3 linked regions of the Neurospora crassa OR74A genome follow. The protein of the gene in region 3 interacts with the protein of the main gene of each other region in a pairwise test. Links are inferred from orthologs where the notes say so. Each region holds a gene or a part of one and is shown on either strand. Other genes may lie near its edges.

Region 1 (7,489 bases), on a different chromosome or scaffold from region 3:
AAATCGAATGGCAACATCGAGAAGTCAGACGATGTTGAAATGATAGACATCGATTGTGAACAGGCTAGAGACCAGGGGCAGGAGATCAAAGCTCAAGAAGCTTGCGGGTCAGTTGACCGAATCGAAACCGACAGCAACGAGGCGGACAGCGCGGGACAAGATGTGGTGGACTTGGTAGCCGACGACACAGACCATGACCTCAGGGAAAGGCTTAAAGGGATAACCAAGCTCCCGAAAAAGGACCCTTCGGAAGAAACGAAGATCCTTACCCTGGACTCCATGGGGAACAGCCATTATCCAGCGGTGCAAGCGCTCAAGAAGTATCTTATGGCAGAATTCGAGGATAAAAAGCAAACGAAGATTAAGGATCTTCCAAAACAAATTGGAATCAAGGCGACCAACATCCCGGAGCAAAACAACTTCTCGGATTGTGGTGTTTATCTGCTTGGGTACATTCAAGAGTTCGTCAAAGACCCAGACCGGTTCGCTCACTGCCTGATGCAGAGAGAAAAACCTGGATGGGAGTTTAACCCTTCCGAACTTCGGGAGTATTGGCGGAACACCATTTTCGAAAAGCAAAAGGAACATCAGGCGAAGCATGATGAGGAGAAGAAGAGAAAGAAGGAGGAAGCTGCTAGACGCAAGGCTGCTAGCTCAACTCCGTCCGACGCAGTGATGAGTGCTACAGAGAGCCAGACTTCGGGACGCACTGGTTTGTCCCATGATCCGGCAACCGACAACGTTTCTTCCGCGCCCCAATTTGTTAGACCGCCAGTTGTTTCCCGGAACACCAACCCGAACATACCAGCTCCTGCTCCAAAGCCGACAACTGCTCTCAGGTCACCGTTATCGTACGGGGCCTCTTCAGCGACCGGAACAGTGACTAACACTGCTGCTGTGGCTGCCGAGAGAGGTGGTGGCTCAAAGAGGAATATGCCAGATCCGCTCGAACCTATCCCACGGCCGCCTACTCGGCCCCAGCAAGCCGCCGACAACGTTGTTGTTGATCTGGAACGGGACGAATCCGAACCAAAGGACAAGGTCTCTCACCTTTCGCCAGACAGTCCTTTGCCTGGCGAGATCCGTCGGTCTAAAAACAAAGACTACGAGCACTCTCCCAAACAGCATGCCTCTTCGCGGACTCCTAGGCAGAGCCCCGAGGTCAAATTCATACCAAAGCTGCCCGACTCTTCTCCGGCCTCTGACAGGCGGACTTCGGGTATTGCTCAGGAGATAAGCCCGCAGACGTTCTACTCCAACGCCCCGCAGAGACCAGAGTCGCCAAAGCTACTGTCGCTAAAATCACAGTCGCCAAGGCCGCAATCACCTTTGGTCGAACGGAAGCGAAGATCGTCACCAGCACGCAAGGCAAAGGCATCACCACCCGCACGTAAGACGGCGCCTTCACCTGAGCTTGTAGCGCAACCCCTCGAATCGATCGAGATCTTCGATCCCCCGACTCCTGAAGCTCAAAGACCGTCGACGACTAGCAGCAAAGTCAAAGCCGAGCAGAAGGACAACAATCACGTCAACCACGGAAACAAAACTACCTACAAAAAAAGCGATAAACATACCCGCCAGAAGTCCAGAATACCTAGGAGAGTTGTGGACGATACTGATAGAAGCGGAATTGGTAGCGGGAAGAGTCGCCGTGTAGAACAACAACAGCAACATCATCAGCGACAGCCACGTCCCAGCAAGCCCAAGGAAACGGCCGAGACCAAGTCCGAGGAGATCCCCGATTCACCCCCTCCGGCGATGGTCGTGTCTGACATCCCTGCGGTGCAAAGCGCGGAGATGACGCCTATTGACTTGACTGATGAGAACTGAGTGAAGACCAGGAGTATGTGGATTGGTTAGAGCGTTGAATTGGTTCATTGTTGTATGTTTATTGTTGGTGTAAGCATATTCATTCATGCATCTGCCCATTTGCATTGCATGGTCTTGAGGCCTCGATGGCTGGTATAGCATGGCTGCGTTGTCTTTTTTGAAGCTCGTTGCTTGATTGTTTTGGAGTTGAAACTCTCGAACTCCCCAAGTCTTGTACATCTTATCATGCAGGCGGAATATTTGGCGGTATTGACGTCCAGCTAGGCCTCGAGGAGTACCTTTGAGTCGGGTGGCCATCTCAGTCTCGAGCTAGATGATGGAGCCTCAACCTTGTGCTGGAGGAAGAAGTAGCGCAGCGTGATCTAACAAACTACCAATCCTCTGTTGATATTTTTTTCCACGGAGAGCACATTACAAGAAGTTTACCATCCCTTTGATGATATATTGGTGAGAGATTCCATAGTATTTTAATGGCTCTGTGTGGCACAACTTAATCGGAAATCTAGTGGAATGGATTCATGACCAGAAACTTTTCAACTCCCTTCAAATGCAGTGAGGCTACCTAAAAGATATAGTGTGGTATGTACAATACTTGCTCTTTCTACTTTCTCCTTCTCCTTTGTCTATGAACAGCTTGGCTGTCGCGAATGCGATATAACGTCCAGAGCACTTTGTAACAAATTTCAACAGGCGATGATTATTTGGCTCTCTTCTTCCTCATTCTCCGCGTTTCTCCCATGTCCCGCTCCGTCAAACGAGGTAGACAAAACAAGACAGAACAAACGTACGTATGGTTCCCATCTTCTTCCTCTATTCCTCCTCTTCTTCCTCCTCATCGCTCTCCTCCCCCTTAGCCCCCGCTCGCCTAGCAACCTTGGGCACCTCGAAGATAGTAGCGCCGTTTCTTCCTTCCTTCATGTACTTCCACCTTCCCAGCCTCATCTCCTTGCCTGTGGCGACCACGATGCAGATGCCGTCGCGACCGCGGTTGCCGCGCTCGAAGATGGCAATGTCATTGATGATACCCCTAATCAGCCCGCTCTCTTGCTTCTTCTTCTTGTCTTGCGACCCATCCACCGAGGCCTCGTCGTCCGCTTGCTCCTCCCCACTGCTTGCGGTTGCAGGTTCCTTCTCCGCCTTTGCCTTCTGCTTTGCTTCCTCCTTCTGCTTCTGGGCCTCGGCCTGGTCAAGCTGCTGCAGCGCCGTGCTGGAACCGAGCACGCCAACAGGCAAAATCTTCTTCTTGTCCTCGCTCAGGCGCCACACGCGCACGAAGCCGTCCCAGGAGCCCGAGAGAATGACGTCCGAGTACGGGATGGTGCGGAGGGCGGTGATGGCGCGGGGCTGCGGGGTGGGCACCACGCTCTCGTCCGGATTCGCGTCGGCAGACACCTCGGTCGGCTTGAGCGGCGGGTCGATGCCGTGCGCACACGGCTGCGTGAACAGCGCCTTCTTGCGGTTGATGCCCCACAGCGAGAGCGTGCCGGCCGAGTCGCCAGTCACAAAGAGCTCGTCGTCGATCATGGCCACCTGGTCCATGGTGCCATCGTGGTTCACCGCCTGGTCCCGGTTCTTATGGGATTTCTTCTCCGACACGCCGCCGCGGAACACGAGCTGCGACTCCTCGGGAACCTTCCAGTAGCGGGCGGTCCGGTCGCGCGCGCCAACGGACACGCAGCGCTCGCCGGCCAGAGCGTCGATGTCGGGGATCTCATCCTGGTGGCCGAAGAGTGTTTCAACGTAGGCGAGCTCGTCGAGCGACCAGACTTTTACTGTCCGGTCCTTGGAGGCAGAAAATATTTGGTTAGTGCCGCGGCGGAAGGCGAGCGAGGTAACGGCGTCGCGGTGCTGGGTGAAGGCCCGGAGGGGCTTGAGGGTCTCGGCGTCATGGACGACCATTCGCTTGTCGGCGCCGCCGGTGACAACAAACTTGCCGTCGGCAGAGGCCCTGACCGTCAGGATGGCCGCGTTGGTGTGTCCCTGGTATGTCTTGTCCTTTGCCTTGATCGGGTTCGCCCTGTTGAAGCACACTCTCTCGGGTTTCTTCTTGGGCGGCGCAGGCGGCTTCTTTGGCTTCTTCTTGGTCGTCTGTGGCCACTGGTTCTTGGGTAGGTCTTGTAGCTTCCACTTGGTAAGGTAGCCGTCTTTCGTGGTGGTGTAAGCGTACGGCGCGCAAACCGAGACTGATGTTACCGTTCCTGAATTCCATCGAAACTGTGTGTGTGCGGCCTTGTCAAAGTCGAGCTTGGAAGCCAACTGGCGGTAAACCTTGCCCTTGGCCTCGGCCACATCCTCCTGAAGACGCTCGGCCAGCAAATCACGGTCAATCTGCTCGGCGTCAAAGGCATACTCGTCCTCCAGTTCCACCTCTTGTCGTGCCTTGTCCAGATATCGCTGTGCCAATCTTAACCGCTTCTCAGCCGCCGTCTCTCCTTCGTGGTCCGACTCCTCTTCTCCTTCCGACCCGTCCTCTCTCTCAATGTGGTCGCCATCGTCACTGTCAATGTCGCTGCCGGATATCGACTCGTCGCGCTCAACGGCTTTCTTGGGGGCTGCGGGACGTGATTTGGCGGCAGGGCCTCTGACCGACGATGACTTGGCAGTCGATTTGCCAGTCGCAACTCGCTTCTGGGGGGCTTCGTTGGCAGAGGCACGCTTCCTCTTCTTTTCCCCAGCGGGTGCTGTGAAAAAGGACGACATGGTGTTGGCAATTGCGGCCCGGGGCGGTCGGTGCAAATGCACTGGAGTCGTCTGGTGGTAGAGAATGACACTGGAATGTGAATTGGGGTCGCGTTCGGCTTCACTTCAACGCTGCTGCATGGCTATCAAAGTTGAAATTTTTGGGATGGCCGTTCGCGCCTAGACACACCCGACCCGATGGACTTCGAAGAAAAAAAAAAGTTGCCCACCCTGCAGGCTTTCTATCGGTGGAGTAGCACGCCGATTCGTCAAGATCTCCTCCACTGGCTTGGCACAATTGAACGAGTCGGAGAAGGGAATCCCCGTGCCGTGCACTCTACCTTATTGCGTCACTAACAGATATAGGGGCTCTGTCACGCGGAACCGAGCTAGCGAGCTGTTAGTAGTCGGCTGGTGGGGAGGCTCTTGCTGTCTCCAAAAGACGTCCCCGGGCCATCCTGGCAGGTTTCATGACGGAGTGGGGCTGTCTCTCTCGCTGTCTGCTTGCCTGCCCAGTGGTTGCAGCTTTCAGCCCTTCTGGGGACTGGAATGGAAAGATGGAAGACGATAGCGGGCACCTGAACAGCCTGGCCCGTGCTTGTCTTGTCAGCTTGCAGGCTGAAGCTCCAGTGCGCGTTCCCCGTCGCCGTCAGTTCAAGCTCCAACTGCCCTGTCCCGCCATAGGTAGGTAACGACGAGAACCGTGCAAGCCAACGCAACTTGCCAAAGCTTACCAAAACAACAGCATATCATCCATTCACTCACATAACAATCAGCCAAAATGTACGTCGCATCGGTCATGTCTTGGAGAGGTGATATCAGAGCTGATCAGCATGTAGGGAGGTTTTACTAGGCATCACGGGCAAGGACTTTACCATCATTGCGGCGTCCAAGGCCGCTATGCGGGGAGCGACCATCCTGAAGGCATCCGACGACAAGACAAGGTCGCTGAACAAGCACACACTGATGGCATTCTCCGGTGAAGCTGGCGACACAGGTACGGCAGCGATATCGTGATGATGGCGCTTTTGAACCAAACCAAGTTAACCAACTGTTTGTTCCCATCGACAGTGCAGTTCGCCGAGTACACCCAAGCCAACGCCCAGCTCTACTCCATGCGCAACGGGACCGACCTTTCCCCTTCTGCCCTTGCCAACTTTGTCCGCGGCGAGCTTGCGACGAGCTTGCGCTCCCGCAAACCCTACAACGTAAACCTCCTTCTCGGAGGTGTCGACCCTATCACCCACAAGCCCAGCCTCTACTGGCTCGACTACCTTGCGTCGTTGGCGAAGGTCCCCTATGCCGCCCACGGCTACGCACAGTATGTGATCTCGACCGATATCTCTGTACCGTCTTTGATGCGTAGGAGTCATGTACAGAATCACTGACCGGTTCTTTCCTCATCAGATACTACTGCCTCTCGATTCTCGACAAGCACCACCACCCAGACATCACCCTCCACCAGGGTATCAAGCTTCTCAACCTGTGCACCGACGAGCTCAAGAGGAGGTTACCCATAGACTTCAAGGGCATGACGGTCAAGGCGGTAACGAAGGACGGCATCATCGATATCGAGTTCGACGACGACAAGGTGGTTAAGATGGCTTGATTTGTGGGGATGCTTGCTTACTTGCCTGCTTGCGGCTTGGGAAGCCTTGCGGGGGAAGGACAACTCTGTATAATAATACCCATACGACGGAAATGCATGAGTCCAGGTGGCCTCCACCAACGGGAGACCCCTGGCGAATTTGATGATCATAAAGAAAGAGAGAGGAAGAAACAAGGCTATCATGTTAGAGGTGTGAAGTCCGAGAGTCCGTCTCTGCGGCTCCCGGTTTCAGTGTGGCGTGTGGAGCGCGTCTGGGCCGATCATACACCCTGCCACCGACACCATCGCGATACGATACGTCAGGGTTGCTTCTTTTTGATCCTTTCTTCGAAACACTCCTCCAACCGGTCAGATATCGTTACGGCAGTTGAGGTTAAGGAACCTGTTTAACGTCCTCTGGCAATCATGGGCGAAAGTATTATAACATTGAAGCGCACACCGCACTCGGTTTCAATCGAGACAGAGGCTCGACGAGCACTTGAAGTCCGTAGAGGTATTGTGTACCTACCTGAAACCGACAAGCTGTAACATGAATCATGACTACTGGTAAACGTTGAAACAACTAGAAAGTATTTCACATTGTCAGGGAATTGTTGTACAGCCAAATGAGAAGAGCTCGAGCCAGTGAATGGTCAATTCCAATTTCATATGTTCAGTCGGCATCATTAAAAGCACACGCAGAGAAGACGCAGCAAAGGGACTTGAAGGAATGTGCTGAAGTGCATGTGTGTAGTACGAGCCATGTAGTGTATGATCGCTGGCTGACATGACGAGGCCCATTAACACTGAAAGCGGTGAGCGCTACAAGCGTGATGGTTGGTGACTGGTGATACCTTGGGACGACGTGGGGGAATTCAGGACGGAGCCTTTCTGCAAAACCTTCCAAGATAGTACACAACTGTCTCTCTGCAGCTGATACCTACCAACGTACATGTCACCAAAGCGGAGGGCATCAGCGGCCCGATTATGTATGTCGCTGTTGCAACTGTCATCCGAGTGTCTGCTGTCAACATCTGCAAAGGTTAGATAAAAGGTGCGGAGATCGGTGCAGAAAGAGATAGATGGATGTTTATGAGACCGGCAACACCGCCGGCTGAACGCGGGATAGAAGAAAACGACAAGAGGCAAGAGGACAAACCGCCCCTTATCACCTAGACGAAGGAAGTGCCATTTGCCTTTTGCCTGCCAAAGGGGTCAAAGCCAATGGCTTGTTTCCATGTTGTTCCTGGTCTGCCCTTCTGTGTCCACTCAGCATATTGAGGTTTGTGGGCTTGCATGGTCAATCACAGTTGGTCCAGCCAGATCAATAAAGAAAAAAAAAAACCGGTGTGTTTGTGCGTAGCAAAAATTGAAGGCTGAGCAAAGACCTTT
Region 2 (7,365 bases), on a different chromosome or scaffold from region 3:
GATAGGAGAGACTCTGCCCGCCCGAACGACAAGGAAGAAATGACAACATCCTCAGGACAAGGGAATCGGATCGAAACACTCAGCGCTAGACCAGGAAATGTTTGGAAATTGGGGGTATAGGTGTATGTGCTAGATCACAAACAATGAGACAGTTGAAAAATGGAGCAAAAACATGCGGCTTCCCACACAAGATGAAACAGCTCGTGCAGTGCTCCGAGATAGTAAATGATACATGGTCGCTCGAGATGATTGAATACATCCGCAATAGACAATGGAAGAAAAAAATGGTGATATTGATACAGTACCGAAACGAACCGCATGAAACAACTCAGGCCCGGCCACTATCCATGCTGGATTTGGGGCTGATGCCGGACTGATTAAAAATGTTCTTGATCCTGCTAACACTGTTCCTTGGAACTTCACTGGAGTAGGTAACCATGATATCGGTAGGCTGGCTCTTGGTGATTTTGCAGAAGAGGGTCGAGAATAGGTAGTTATACCCGTTGTGATCAAGCAGCGGTATCGTGCGGTAGCCTTGCTTGAGGCCGCCAAGCTTAGCTGTGAAAGTCGCCAAGGGGGGGCTGCGGTCGTTGTATCCTTTGTTGTCGCCAAGCTTCACGCTCCAGCGCACAAAGATGAGATCAGGGTACTTGGTGGTAACAATGAACTCATAAGAGTTATTGCCTTTGAAAACGGGGTTGAAGCCATTGTCTTTGACGATGTCGGTGCGATATTTCAGCTGCGTCTCCTGAGCTGGTGCATTTGTGGCACCATCTTGCTTATTCCTCTTGTCATCGGCCAGGAAAATCTCGACTTCGACGTAGGGATCAAGCGTCCGCCCCTTGGGAAGATTCAATGGCCTCATCAGCTGCTGCGCAGAGATGACCTCAATCTTGAACGAGATCCTCTTCCGTGGTCTTTTACCCGATAGCTGCCCGGCAGCATCCGTCGGGACGACTTGAATCTGACGTCCCTCGAGGGGTTTAAGAACATAACCGGACAGGTCGGTGCCACTATCAAACATAGCCTGATTCAGCTGCATCCCCAGATCGAATGTTTGCCAGTTCAGTGCTGCCATTTGAACCCCGCGCTTCCAATAGAGGAGCGGGTCAAAGTTGCTAGAAGATATCCGACCTCCGTTCGGATACACACGCATGAGATAGCGCATGTTATGACGGTACAAAGCACGCTTTGCTTCACCCGGCTGGCTTCTCTCAGCAAAGGTCTTTTCTTTGAAGGAAAAGATATGGTTGAACTTTTTAGCGTCGGGGCTGTCGAACCCATCAAAGTGAACGCCCATGCAATAAACGCCCAGTTCACCGAGGATAGGGTTGATTTTGCTCACCACCTTCTTCCCCGAATCCTTTTCAGCATCACTCTCGTATTCGCTGGGGCTGTTGCTAGGCCCCCCGTGGGAATGAACCTCGCCTTCCGTGATGGTGTTAATTTGCCGTGTCGCTCGCAACATCGGACTTGGACTCAACGAGGGACTTCCAGGAACAGCGACGGATGTGTTATCCATGGGAGATGGTAAAGGTGACGGCCTCTGATAAGGTGAGGGTAGGCTGTTGCCGCGCCGCCGACCAGGTCGCTCAGTCTTCAGCGACTCCTCAGATGGTGTGTTAGGTACTGGCTGAGACTTTTTGACCTTGATGAGGATGCGCTCAATCAAGTCAGACGGTGAGGGAAGTCGATCCGAGGATGGATCGAGGGGTGCCCGGACAAGCTTGTCGCCGAATATGTCAATCATAATCTTTGCCATGTTGGCTTGAGTCGCAGCGTTACAGCGGACCTCCAGCGATATCCAGAGAGGAAAGCGAGACTTGACAAAGGCATACTTGTTGATGGTTTTGATCACCTCTTCAAACTTGATCCTTGTGGTCCAGGTATGGCCGTGTGACACATAAGGCTCGTCATTCGGGCCGTCCCAGCAGTCGACTTCAACGCATCTGCAACCACGCTCAAGTGCCGAAATATAGCCTTCGACACTGGAGATTCCACGGACTTGGCGACCAAGAAGATATGTATTATGTGAGCTTGAGATATAATACTCATTCATTGGTCGGTCGAGAACATATTCGGATGGCTCCTGGATGAGCAAACTGTTGAAATGTGAATTGAGAAATCCAGTGAAGCCAGCCTCAGATATGGTCAATGACTCATCCCCGCTGATGGTCTGCTCGGCATCTTTGGACCTGCGTCTACGCGCGAACTGAGAGAAGATATTGTTCCAATGCGTAGAATCTTCCTCCACGTCTTCGCATTGAATCTCCTTCAAGAATTGTATGAATTCTTGCCTCGTCATCCCTGCTTTAGGGTTGGTCGTATGATTCTTGAAGACATGGCTGATCTCAGACCTCGCCTTCAATAGCCGCACGAACTCTTTAAACTCGTTGAAGTTCAAACTGGAAGGGGAAGTGGGATCACAGACCCCGTTGGAGGTAGCCTTGGCAGCTTTAGCAGCGTTAAAGTTGTCGCGAATTTCTGTCGGCGATAGGTGCATGTGAAGAGAGCGACAGATTCTCTCAATGTCGGGAAGTTCAATGGTTTCGCCTTCAGCCGGAATGACCCTATCTGCGTACTTCTTTCTCATTTGTCGTTGCCAGAACTCGTGGACGGCCTTTTCGTTGAAGGCCATCAGGTTTGTCGTAAAATCCTGGCGATATTGAAGTATAGCATCGAGTGTCGTGGTCCAATTGCGAAAGTCGGTGGAATTCAGGGCAATGAGATGCAACACCTTGGTTCCTGACTTTTCTGGGACTGTATACAGGATCGAGAAAAACCTGGGCTCTTCAGATTCTTCAACCCCGGCGTCAAGACGGTACTGTCGAATGTCCTCGGCTGTCCTTACTTCCTTGATGTCATCGATGAACACAGACTTTCTCCCTGTTCGACTCTTGTCCCACCATATCTTGGAAGTGTCTGGATCAAGGGTGAGGGTGATTCTCTTTTCCTTTTTCTTCTTGCTGATTTTTTTCAACATGACACCTTGGCGTAAAGCAACCGGAATCTCGGGTCCAATGCTCAGGGGAATTTGAGCGTCTCGCAACCCGTCCAACGGACCGGCGTCATCTATGGCACACTCATCATCTGATTCCAGCAAGTGACCTCTGTAGTTGTGTTCCCCGAGTGGGAAGGTGTTGCTCCCACGGCGCAAAGACGCCACCATCGGGTCAGCATCCCGATTGACAATGTTCATTGATGCTCTTCGTGTAAGTATGTCGCGCGCTTTGTTCACTGTGTTTGAAGCGCGACGGACCAGACTACCCGCAAAGCTACTTTTGGACAGAGCCTCGCCCATAGCATTCTGTTGCCTGGGGATCTTCTCGCCGCTTTTCTCTCCATTCCTTTTTAGCGAGTTACTGCTTTTCTTCGATGACAAAGGGGCTGGGGCTAGTGGCTCGGGGAGGTTAAGAGGCGTAACTGGTTCCTCCATTCCCTTAATCGTAGAAGCGTAAGAGTCCATCCCCTTTGTCGTGGAAGATACGAAAGTCGCAGGGGAACCCTGAAGGGAGCTGCTTTCTGTGAATATGGCGCCGGCCGTGTCTGGTGTCAAGGCCGGAGAGGGTTGTTGTGACGTGGGCGACGCAGACGACGTGCTTATGGCGGACAGCGGAGATACATTGGTGAAAGCCTGGGGCTGTAGCGTGAGAGCTGTCTGAACATGAGCAGGACGTGCCCGCCGCGATGGTGAGGTATTTGGGGCCATGGTACGGGATATGGCCTCGGGCAAAGTCGAAGGGGAGTTTTGGGAAACCAAGAGAGCCTCTGTAGTTGAAGACATGATGTTGGGTAAAAGGGAGAGAGGTCCCCTAGGGGCAAAGCCGTTGCAAACAAACTTGGACGAACAAAGTGATGGACCAAGTCTTTTTCTGATGGGTTGTGCCACGACCAAGGAGAAAAAAAAAAAAAAAACCGGGATTATGTGTGATGAGAAGTCTTTCGTCGCATCTTCCAGGCGTTGTCAGAATAGGCTGGGTCCCCTATGGTGGTAAAAGAAGAGTGCGGGGAAAGATATATAGATGTCGAAAGGTCTGGCAAGGCGTGGATTCCAGGAGGGGACGTCTTGTAGCAGGTATAGCGAATGGTTGTGGACAATGACCGAGTCCACTCTGGCGTTTTCTCTCTTGCTCTCACGCACAAGTCAGCAAGTGAGGAAGCAAAGGTAATGAGGCGTACGGGGGTTGAGCAGCAGGTCGAGCTAAGTAGCCTGTAAGGCAGGTAAGTCCGTAGCTAGGTACCAGGGAGGCTGCAAGTATGGCGGTTGTACTGGTACGGGGTTGGACCCAGGTATTGTACACGGGAGACCTCGAAGCATGCAGTGGCAGGTGTAGGATTTTGCGAGGAAGGGGCGGGTAAGGTATGGGCCGCCGCCGCCGTTTTGTGACGGTCTGTGAACCCACGGCAGAATGATGAGGTGGCAGCCGTATGCAAGCTGCTCCTATTTGGGAACCGTCCAGGATTGGAGAGTAAGGGGAGGGGGCAGCTCGGTGATCCACCCTGACGGCCAAGAGACGTTGGATACGTTGGATACGTTGGGTGGAAGCCGCTCGGTCCAGTGAGTACGGGTACTTGGACTGCTGGGTTCGAATTGGCCCGTCGGATGCTGTAGCTAATAACGGCGTTGTGTGGTATGAAGCGCTGCCGTATGATCCCTTGGTTTCCTGTCGAGGCGGGCTCCCGTTTTGCTACCTCGACCTCGGACCTTCCTTGCTTGATGGCTTGCCCAGAGCCTAATTTACGCGAACCGGCGTTTGCGCTTCTGGGTACGTAGCAGGTATCCGCGCTGCGCTTCGTGGTTGAGCCGCCCAGACCCTGATGTCGTCTTCCTTCTTTGGGTAGTGGTGAGCTTGGAGAATGGGCAAGCAGCTTGAAGGGCCAGGGATGCGCCCACTAGCAGCGGTATACACCACGTAGTTAGTAGCAGGAGGAAGAGGCAGAATCAAGCTGGAAGACTGGTGAGAGCCTCGAGGAAGCCGGCGGGAGATAGTAGAGTTACAGGTCGGCGGTGACGGGGCCGTTAACGGCGGCAATGATAGTGTAGCCAGGTGATGGTGGAGCAGCGTCGAGTTTCTCGTTTTCAGAGAGAGGAACAGAAAGTGGATAAACCCATTGATGACTGACACTGATGAGGCGGGTTCTGTTGCAGTGGACCTTGGAGATGACTGAACTGGATGCTGGACGGAGAGCTAGAGCTGGGAGAGGTGTCGAGAGCCGCGCAAGAGTCAGCCAGGATTGTACGGTGTGTGGCCGCCGGTACAGATGGTTAGGATGAGAAAGAGGTGGATGGCCGGGCGTCGTAAAGTACCACGTAGCGTATGGATAGATATGTGAATATGGACGTATTGCGTATGGTTCGGGATAACAGGAAGCGACGGTATCAAAAAAGGTGCATGTATTGCTTGGGGCGCAATGTAGTGTGTCGAGGTACAGTAGAGTAGTATTGCGAGTCGGTAGTGGTCGGGTGTAACTGCCCTTGCCCTGCCCCTACCCTGGGGGTTCCGTTAGGTATGGTCTGAAATGCAACTGAAGAGATCAAAAAGTGGAAAACCCGATGGAAGCAGAATTTCAAAGTTGGAGTCGCAGGTGGGTTCAGTGTCGGTGCAGTACTAAGCGGCGGCATTGAGCAGCTGAAATTTTCACGTACTGTGCCCGCCGTGTATCGAATTCGAAGGTAAGTGGCCCGAGTCGAGGTGATGTCGTAAAGGTGAGGTTTCGTCGAGCAAACCTTATTGGCGTCGTAGTGGTTGCGGTGCAGACGGGAGCGAGGGTGGCCGAAATACGATCGGTGCTTCTTTTGTTCTGAATGCTTGCTTTGTGTTGCTTCTGTCCGCCGCGGTGGTCCTAATCCTGGGAGCTTGGGGCAGAAGGGGGCCGCCGACTACTATCCATACTGGACATCCACATCGGTGGAGACTCGGAACTAATGAGGGTGGGTAGTACATACCTACCTACCTCTAGGAAGGTGCGCCCCAGATTACAAGTGTGAGACTGCGGTGCACAGTGCCACCGCAGAGTGGACAGTGAAAATTACAGAAATGCAGGAGCATAACGGAGAAATACTTACCAGGACACCATACAGAAAATATTACAGGGAAATGGCGCTCTGTCTTAGCGTAAGCTGTATGTTCCATCCTACCACCCACCGCATCTTCTCACTTGTAACGAAAATGCTTTATACATAATACAACTCAAGGCTTACTAGCCAATCCGGTTGGCATATTGCTGCATATGCAGCTAAGAGCAAGCTCAAAACGCCCGCACAAGGTGTGGTGGCCTTCTTCCCCGATTGAGGAGTTCCGTTACAAGTGAGAAGATGCGGTAACCTAGGTACCTACTGCGTACAGTGGTGCGTACCAGTCCAGTGGTTGCATGTCCAAGCGTGGAGGTTCCGCGGACCTTGGCAGCGGAGGCAAATGACGGAGCAAGGGATTCCCACGAACCTATTGCACGCGAGCGCCATGCCAAAACTCGCATGAGTTTGGACGGAATACGGCAGCTGTGGGCAGCAATCTTTGCAACAAAGAAAATTCTGAAAGCACGCCCAGAGCTCCCTCTTCCAATTGCGACGAATGCCCAGGCGTGCCAGGCTCCTTGAGCCTACCTAGCGCATCCGTATATCCGAAATAGTGTAGCGTCGAGCTTCTACCTGCCTTCTCCTTTCCATCATTCCTTCCCCTTTCTTTCATATTCACTACATACCTACCTAGGTACTTGGCCCCTCCCGCCTTCCTAGGTACTCCCCAATGTCTGTCTGACCGCAGTGGATGTCCACGTCGTGTGGCCGAGAGTTGGGCTGGGAAGATATCTCATACCTGAGCGTATGGGGGTGAATTGGGCTACAACAGTAGCCTCATTACCTTCCATGGCACCCCCTCACTGGACGACAGGGCCGTCGCGGATGATCTACACTACATTGGTTTAGGTTCATCAGGGACTCGTGGGGAAGTGTCACAGGCATTGCTGCCATGTTCCTGTATATAGATGGGTGCTGCACTGCAGTGGTGTAGCCAGCCTGCAGCTGTCTGAGTGCAGTACAGCAGTCACGTGCACACGTGCTGTAGTCCGTATACTAGACCCACGCACAAGCGTGCCTTACATAGTTCTCGTACGCGCACAGGATTCTCTTCCTGTTCCTCGCACAACAATCAAAATCTTAGCTTAGTACTTACTCGCGCCCTATAATACTTTATTATACCTAACCATCGTATTAATGCATAATAAGTAATTTTGGAAAGACTAAGAATAGTAAGAGACTATTGTAGTTATTTAGTCTTCGCGAAATTACATTTAGCCGACTAGTACGGTCGAAAGTAATTAATTAAAACGTATTTAATAATAGTCGATACGAAGCGAGAATTTCAA
Region 3 (7,282 bases):
TACCTAGGTAGGTAGTAGGTACCTCTAATCTCGCGTACGCTACACTAAATAGGTAGGTAGGTACTGCCTGATCGTGTTAGTAGTGTAGAGGTAGTGTGCTACAGGAAGTAAAAGTACTATGATGCCAGTGTTAGGCGGGACGGGCAGCGCGCTCTTCGCCGTCTTACTTTACTGTCGCTGCTGCCCTGACTGCTTCGTCGAAGAAACCCGTCCCCAAATACGTACGGTACTAGGTACGCTCCATTGCGTCCTGTGATTGGTCAAGACGAACTTGGCGTGCAGCAGCTGACTCCAAAATTTTGACATCTCTGCACTCCCGCTATGTATTGTAGCCATTTTTCTGACAGCTTAGGTTGTGTTTGACATTCATCTTGCTCCTTGGCGCGATCCCCTCTTTGCTCCCCTCTTTACTCCGCCCGTCAACGCCAAATAACCCCAGCTTGCCCAGCTGCCGAATTGGAGAAGCATAACCTGTCCCTAACCCGTCTTAGAGGTTAGTTGTTTGTCGAACGACATGACACATGGCAGGCAATTCATCTCAAACCATCTGCCTCCTCTTCATGTCCACAATCAAGAGTCCCGCCCGACCCTCATGAAACCCTGTCCCTTCGTTGCAAGACGAAATGACATCATTGAGTGCTATTCACAGACCACTATATTTCCGGGCTCCCGCACACTCGAGTCGGTTGCTCCCTGGATCCCTAGTAGCAAATCGCCCTTCCTGACAACAAGTTCCCCAACTTAAAGCTACCCCCAACTTTTCCAGTCCCGCCGTCAACGCTAATATCTACAAAGTAGGTAACTACATTCGAGCGAGAATGCTTGGGTTAGTTCCATGAACTTGTCATGATATTGGTCAATGGCCTTTTGTATAGACCCCGGCACACTTGTATCCCTGATCATTATGTTGCTATTCCCGAAGATATCCGATCCATATACAGGTATCCAACAAAGCAAAATTATTCCACCAAGCCTTCGGCGGCGAGCAGCGCATGCTCCAAGGCCGCCATGGCCGTCTTGCAACCCTCCTTGACGAGCTTGGTGTTGGCCGCCCCTCCCGCGAGATCCGACTTCCGGACCACCTTCTTGATGAACCATTGCAGGCCTCTGGCAAGCTCGGGGACCCCTTCCACAGCCACAAACACCGAAGTAATCGTCTCATCCCGATCCTTGTCGCCGCCTTTTCCGGCTTCAAGAAGCACAGTAATCAGCAGGATCTCCACTAGCGCCCGCGTCTTGGTTTGTAGATAAGGCAAATTGAGGCATTTCAGAATTGCCAATCCTAGCGATCCACCTGCCACCATGGCCCCAAACAGTTTTGCAATGTTGACAAGCCGCCGCATGTCCATCGCATCTACATCCTCCTCATCCTCCGCGTCATCGCCAAAAACTGACTCTCCGAGACGCCTGAATAGCTTCCAGAGCGCGTCTTGGAACGACCACCGGATTTTGCGATCCCCGCAAAGCTTCTTGGCCACCAAGGTGTAGTATGGGTTGTAGACCTGCTCTGCGCCGGCACACTGGATGACCACGTATGGAATCTCTCTCTGTCGCTCCTTGTTCAGGCGCAACTTGAGGATGCGGTAGTAGGCATCTTCGTAGTCCGTGGCGGACATTATCGACACAAAGATGGACCGGCGCACGTCCGTGTTCATCTGGTTTTCTCTGGCAAGTTCTCCGAGGTCAGGCATGTCCTCGACATCCTCCAAGACAAAGCTTTCGTCGTCCGAGTCAACGCTATCCTGTATGACACCGTCCTGGGTCAATGGCTTCTTGTCACTGTCCTTATCTCTGCCTGCCCAGCTAGCGCCTACAAGCCACCATTTGCCCTTCTTGTCGGCATCGCGTATATCGGCAAGGGTCATTCGCAAGGGCTCGGCCGTCTTGATGGTTTTCAAGGTGCCCAAAAGCTTCTTCATCTTGGTTGTGTGCTCCGTGAGAACGGCGGAAGCGCCTAAACCCGTCTTCATCTTGTTGTTTTTCAGGTCGTTGATGGTCTCAATCATGAATTTAGTTCTGACGCTGAGGTTCTTCTCTCCGATCTTGGCAACAGCCGGGCGGATAAGGGTAACAATGTCCTTGACAGACATGGGGTCATCTTGTCGGAGGGCTGGGCCAGCAATGCGCACAATTCTGAGCAAAAGTTCCGCGTTCAGCTCCGAAAGATCACCCAAAAGGATTCGAATGAAGTCGAAGAGCAAGTTAGGGCCCACGAGTTGAAAGTTATAGAGTTCGGATAGGAAAGTGATGAGGTTGGATGTCTGTTTCGGCACGTCTGGCCGCTCCTTTGCAGCCTCTTTGGCCTCTTCATAATGCCTATCAAATCGCTCGATCACTTCTTGAATTAACTGTGCGCCAAAGTCCATGCCAATCACCTTGAAGATACCCGTAGCGAAACCCGCGGTAAGCACGAGCAACGTATCAGGCAGCGTCGTTGGCTCGCACACCTGAATGAGTAGGAGATCGACAATGTTCGACGTAAGATGTTGTCGCGGGTTGTCGCGGTAAAGCTTTTCAAAGTCCATAATGATGGATAAAAGATTAGACTCTGTCATCCTGTTGATGAGACCTTGTGTTTGACGGCGAATGTGGGCCACCAACTCCGCTTCTGAGCCCGCCTCCTGTCGCTTCGATGGTGGCACGTATTTCACTACAGTCCGCCCAGTTGTAGGCGCAACATATGGGTTTTCGCGGACCCGTTCTGGCGGCTTTTGTAGCGTTTCTTCGTCGTTGTCGGATTCGTCGTCGTCGCCGTCGTCCTCGTCGTCGTCCTCGTCGTCGTCCTCGTCAAATCCTCCAAAATCCCCCTCATCCTCGCCCAAGATGCTGTCTTCTTCTCCATCTTCATCAGAATCGCCTTCGACCATGTCTTCGTCTTGGTCAACGTCGTTGTCTTCGTCCGAGTTCAATCCCTCTAAGAGATCGTCCAAGCCATCGTCCTCTTCGTCCAGTTCGGAGACTTCATTTTCTTCCTCGTCTAGTTCGAATTCCTTCGTCTTCTTGGCCTCTTCCGCTTTCCTCCTTTTCGCCGCAAGCCACTCATCCGCTTCGGACTTCCGCTTCCTTTTCTCGGCTGTTTCGTCGTCTACGCCAGGAAGGCCTTCTAGTAGATCAAGAAGACCATCCTCCTGGAAGGACTTGGGAAGCGATTTGCGTCCCTTGATGCCGAGCTTCTTTTCGAGGTCTGCGATCTCCTTGTCGTCTTGCGCCAATCGTTCCATGACAGTTTTTGAGATTTTGGGCTGCGACTTCGATATGGTTTGTGTTGGGACATCACTTTCCTCTTCATCGTCCACGTCTTCGCCGTCTTTGTCGTCTTCTTCGTCGAGGTCTAGCTCATCGTCCTCGTCCTCGTCAAGATCGATATCGCCCTCGTCATCGAAATCCTCATCATCGTCCTCTTCGAGGGCAACATCTTCATCCTCATCCTCCAATGATCGTTTCTTCCCGTTCTTCAAGATGGGCTTGGGTTCCTTTGCTTCCTTTGACGATGCGGCATCGACCTTCTTCTGTGGTTTTGGGGCTGTAGCGCGCTCGGTATGGTAACTTCTTGTGGACGAGGTGCGGTGAATCCTTTTCTGTGTTCTCTCTGCTTTACGGCGATCCTTTCTAGACTGAAATTGATTCTTGCGACCTCCGTGAGATTGTCCTGCAAGAGTTAGGATTTCGTCGGAGAACCCTGATTGCCAGGCAGGAATGACAATGGCTGTATGGGCGCATGAACGGAGGCACGCTCACCTTCTACGCCGAGCTCCTTCAGGAGGTTGTCAGGCAATTTTGGAGCCTTTATCCTCATGGAGGGTGCCATGTTGTAATATGCGCGTGCGGAGGTGTAGATGTGATTGATTGGCACGACCTCCAAACTTTGCAAGGCTCTCTCGTCCGTCGCTGCATGGAAGAGCGCGGGATCGGGACCTTGCTATCGTTATCAGATAGTTTTTTTGGTTATCGGTCGGTGCAGGGTTCCAGGCATGTCGACTGCGGGGCCAAGAGCGCCAAGAGATGAAGCGGGTCCTCCGCTGCTTGGGACCCCACCCGGCTGGTTTTACGCTGGGGAAGCTCACTCCTACCAGACAGACGGGAGCTGCCCGGCCAACAGCAGTGGGGAAAGCTGCCACTCTCGTTGACTTTCATCAATCATTCTAGGTTGCCTTCACATTCACTCCTCAGCCGAATTGTTGTCTTGCCTTTTGCAAACGAGCATAAGAAGAAGACGAAAAACAACTGGATATCATGGGTCATTTAACTCACGATGAGGTAATGTTATATGTGACTGGCTGCTGTGATCCCGTCCTGAGGAGACCATGCTAATCTGACTTCAACCGACTATGGTATATAGTTCTTCTCCAAGCTCACCAATCTGTTCGAGTATAGGAAGAACCAAGATCACGGAACCATCAACCTAGTACAAAAGAGGCGTACGTGTACCTACACCAACCCAGCGCAGACAGGAAACTTCACACTCGGCTTTGCTATCGTCACGACAATCCTCCCAATTTCCGCTGTTTTCCAAGCTTAAACTCCATCTCCATCCACCCACGATGAGCTAAGTAGAGTGAAGCTCCGTCACCAAAGCTAACCCTCCCACAGTATCCTACAGCACCCCTTCCCAATCCACGGATACCGACCCTCTCACTGACCTCAACCCTGCCACCCCGCTCCCGGTTCTCATCCGCGCCACCAACGCCAAGGGCAAGGACAAGAGGACAGAAAAGGTCAAGCTGTCCACCATTGTCGAGCCAGCCGACCTGGAAACCTTCTACGGGAGGTACGCCGATGTTTGCAAGAAGGGCATGGGGGCATTGAAGCCGAGAGACAGGACCAAGAGGAAAAAGCAGTCGAGGAAGAAGAAGACAGGTCCTGCAGCCGCTGGAGGTCCTGGTGTTGGTGCTGGTGGGACTTCTATGATGGCTATTCCCTGATTGGACTCGAAACAAGCGTTGCAAATTACACCATTGCTGTTTCTGTCTTCTTGTGTGTACATGACCTAACGGAAGGAGGGATCTGTATGAGGGTACCGTATTAAATTTTGTAATATTCCCAAGCTTTGGTGGAATACCCTGGTTCAAGTCAGTGGGTACGCATGGTAAGGAAAGCGTTGGTGAGTAGTACCGCATCATAGCCTTCAATCTGCCACTCTCGGTTACCCTACCTCTCGACTCACCTGCTCGTAGTTGGTATTACCCTTCAAGACGACTAGCGAGAAAGGAAGGGAAGAAAAAAAAGGTGTTGGGAGAGGGGGGGAAGGGGGAATATGAAAAGCTCAGCTGCCTATCTAGCGTGCAGCGCACATCTACTATCTACGTGAGCTACTGGAGTTAATGAAAGGTGCGAACTAAAGGGATCATATGCCCGTTCTGGAGAATGTTCAGTCCTGCCGCAGGAAGTATGCGGCCCTTCGTGGAAATGGAGATGGAAGGGAAAGAGAGGAACATGAAATGAATGAGTGACGGAAGAAGCGTGAGAGAACGACTGCTGTGCCTCAACAGAGAAGCTGTTGAACGAAGGGGAGAGTAAGAGCGAGCCGAATTGATAACGTTCATATGCTTGTTCCAAATCTGCTGGCTGGCCTTCACGATCCTGTCTTGGGTGTGAACTTGATCACCGGGAGAGCGTGTATCTCCAGGTGACTCGATCTAAACGGTCCTATTAGCAAAGTTAACATTTCTCATTTGGTAAAATAACAAGACTGCCCGGGTGGAGCAGCAGCTACCGTACCCTGACGTCAAGCGTAGATATATTTGAGCCGCACTTATGAGCATCAGCTGAAGGGCAACCGGCTCACCCGTTCTCCACTCGATTCACCATTATGAAACACCACGAACACGTCACATCACGTTGGCTTCACCTTGATTGGCTTTGATTCAGGTTACCAAGAGTCGCAGTTCCAATGTTCGACCTTAATCCTAAGGTCAACCGAGATAATTGCATGTTCTCTTCAAGAGTACAGTCTAAAGGTGGGGGGATGTAGGTGAAACAAGATCAACTGTCCATTTTGAGGGTCCGAACCGTAAACAACTTGCTGAAAGAAAGGCCGAAGAGCCAAATGTCAGCCGCAAAAAGAGCAACAAGTTTCAGTGGGATTTACTTGTCCCATGTGCTAGAACTGGGCAAGGTAAAGCATGTCGCAAATTCAACTTCCTCAATCTCCTTCCTCCGACACCATCCTTCACATGCTTGTCATGCGGCCATTCAGACTACTGCCCCATCCCAGGCCAATGCTCATGGCCACCAAATCCCTGACCATAGCCACCTGTCCGTAGACAAGTAGTGCAATTGGAAAGATTGAACCGAGCGCCACATCGAAGACAGGCTTAATCCAGTCATATAATACAACCTCCAAATGGAAAATCCCAAACTATCATAGGAAATCTGTTGCTTCAACCAGTATGACTGACGCGATGGTCGGTAATCAGTTTACATGATCTGATCTTGTGTCAGGCCACCATGGGGGTCGGTATCCATGCTGTCGCCGCCAGCACCAGGGTTAAGGTACTTGACGAAACTCAGACCGAGAGGACGTCCACCATACTGGTAACCCTGGAACTTTTGGATCGCGGTGTCGGCGGTGTCGGCATTGTCGAAGCGAACGACGCCAGAGCCGCGGGAGCGACCGCTGGGCTCATACTGAATCTCAGCCTGCTCTACCTTACCAATAGTAGAGAAGAGCTCGACGAGATCCTCATTGCTGGTCGACCAAGGGAGCTGATGAAGAAGAGGAAAGTCAGAGAAGTCGAATACTCGGGGGTACAAGATGAAGTTTGACTTACGTTCCGGACGTAAATGATCTCAGACCGTTCAGTACCAGAAGTAGCGAAGTCAGTGAACGGGTTGGGCTGAGCGGCCGGCTGGTTGGCATCGAAGCTAGGGGGACCACCGGGAGCTCCTCCGAAGCCGCCACGACCGCCGAAGCCACCTCCAAAGCCACCGCGGCCACCACCGAAGCCGCCGCGACCGAAACCGCCGAAGGCACCACGGCCGCCGCCGAAGCCGCCACGACCGCCGAAACCACCAGGACCCATATTCGCACCGGCAAAGCGATCCTCGCGAACCTCCAGCATACGGCCCTGCCAATCGTAACCATTGAACTGCTGGATGGCGTTGCGAGCATCATCTGGGGTCTCGAAGACAACGATACCCGATCCTTTCGGGCGGCCATCAGGTCCGATATGAACGTCGGCGCGGATAACACCACCATTGCGCGCTATAGCAAGTTAGTATCGCAAGCTGTAGGTCACGTTAATGTATAAAACGATCCAACTTACCAGCCTGTCTGAACAGA

Evidence for each region.
Region 1: the proteins of NCU02406 (region 3) and NCU01367 interact in binary tests that used the Saccharomyces cerevisiae proteins (3 or more experiments, as listed by UniProt). The link is inferred for Neurospora crassa OR74A from reciprocal best matches to the Saccharomyces cerevisiae genes SGD1 and RRP9.
Region 2: the proteins of NCU02406 (region 3) and NCU01266 interact in binary tests that used the Saccharomyces cerevisiae proteins (3 or more experiments, as listed by UniProt). The link is inferred for Neurospora crassa OR74A from reciprocal best matches to the Saccharomyces cerevisiae genes SGD1 and PLC1.

What each region holds. Positions count from the first base shown.
Region 1 is NC_026505.1:3,789,203-3,796,691, forward strand, and holds NCU01367 (rRNA processing protein RRP9), read right to left. Parts: upstream 4,718-7,489; 5' UTR 4,531-4,717; coding exon 2,641-4,530; 3' UTR 2,325-2,640; downstream 1-2,324. Other genes in the region: NCU01366 (hypothetical protein), read left to right, coding at 1-1,830; pcb-4 (proteasome component C11, variant), read left to right, coding at 5,291-5,292, 5,349-5,506, 5,581-5,830, 5,917-6,118. UniProt on the Saccharomyces cerevisiae protein: Involved in nucleolar processing of pre-18S ribosomal RNA. Required for efficient pre-rRNA cleavage at sites A0, A1 and A2, and biosynthesis of 18S rRNA.
Region 2 is NC_026505.1:3,447,187-3,454,551, reverse strand, and holds NCU01266 (phosphoinositide-specific phospholipase C), read right to left. Parts: upstream 4,718-7,365; 5' UTR 3,785-4,717; coding exon 329-3,784; 3' UTR 17-328; downstream 1-16. UniProt on the Saccharomyces cerevisiae protein: The production of the second messenger molecules diacylglycerol (DAG) and inositol 1,4,5-trisphosphate (IP3) is mediated by activated phosphatidylinositol-specific phospholipase C enzymes. Required for cell growth, osmoresistance and expression of GPD1.
Region 3 is NC_026507.1:2,609,676-2,616,957, forward strand, and holds NCU02406 (nuclear protein), read right to left. Parts: upstream 3,882-7,282; 5' UTR 3,809-3,881; coding exon 3,739-3,808; intron 3,650-3,738; coding exon 960-3,649; 3' UTR 692-959; downstream 1-691. Other genes in the region: NCU02405 (hypothetical protein), read left to right, coding at 4,234-4,257, 4,340-4,418, 4,591-4,922; NCU02404 (RNP domain-containing protein), read right to left, coding at 6,418-6,705, 6,771-7,204, 7,266-7,282. UniProt on the Saccharomyces cerevisiae protein: Involved in osmoregulatory glycerol response, probably through its interaction with PLC1 which regulates the expression of GDP1.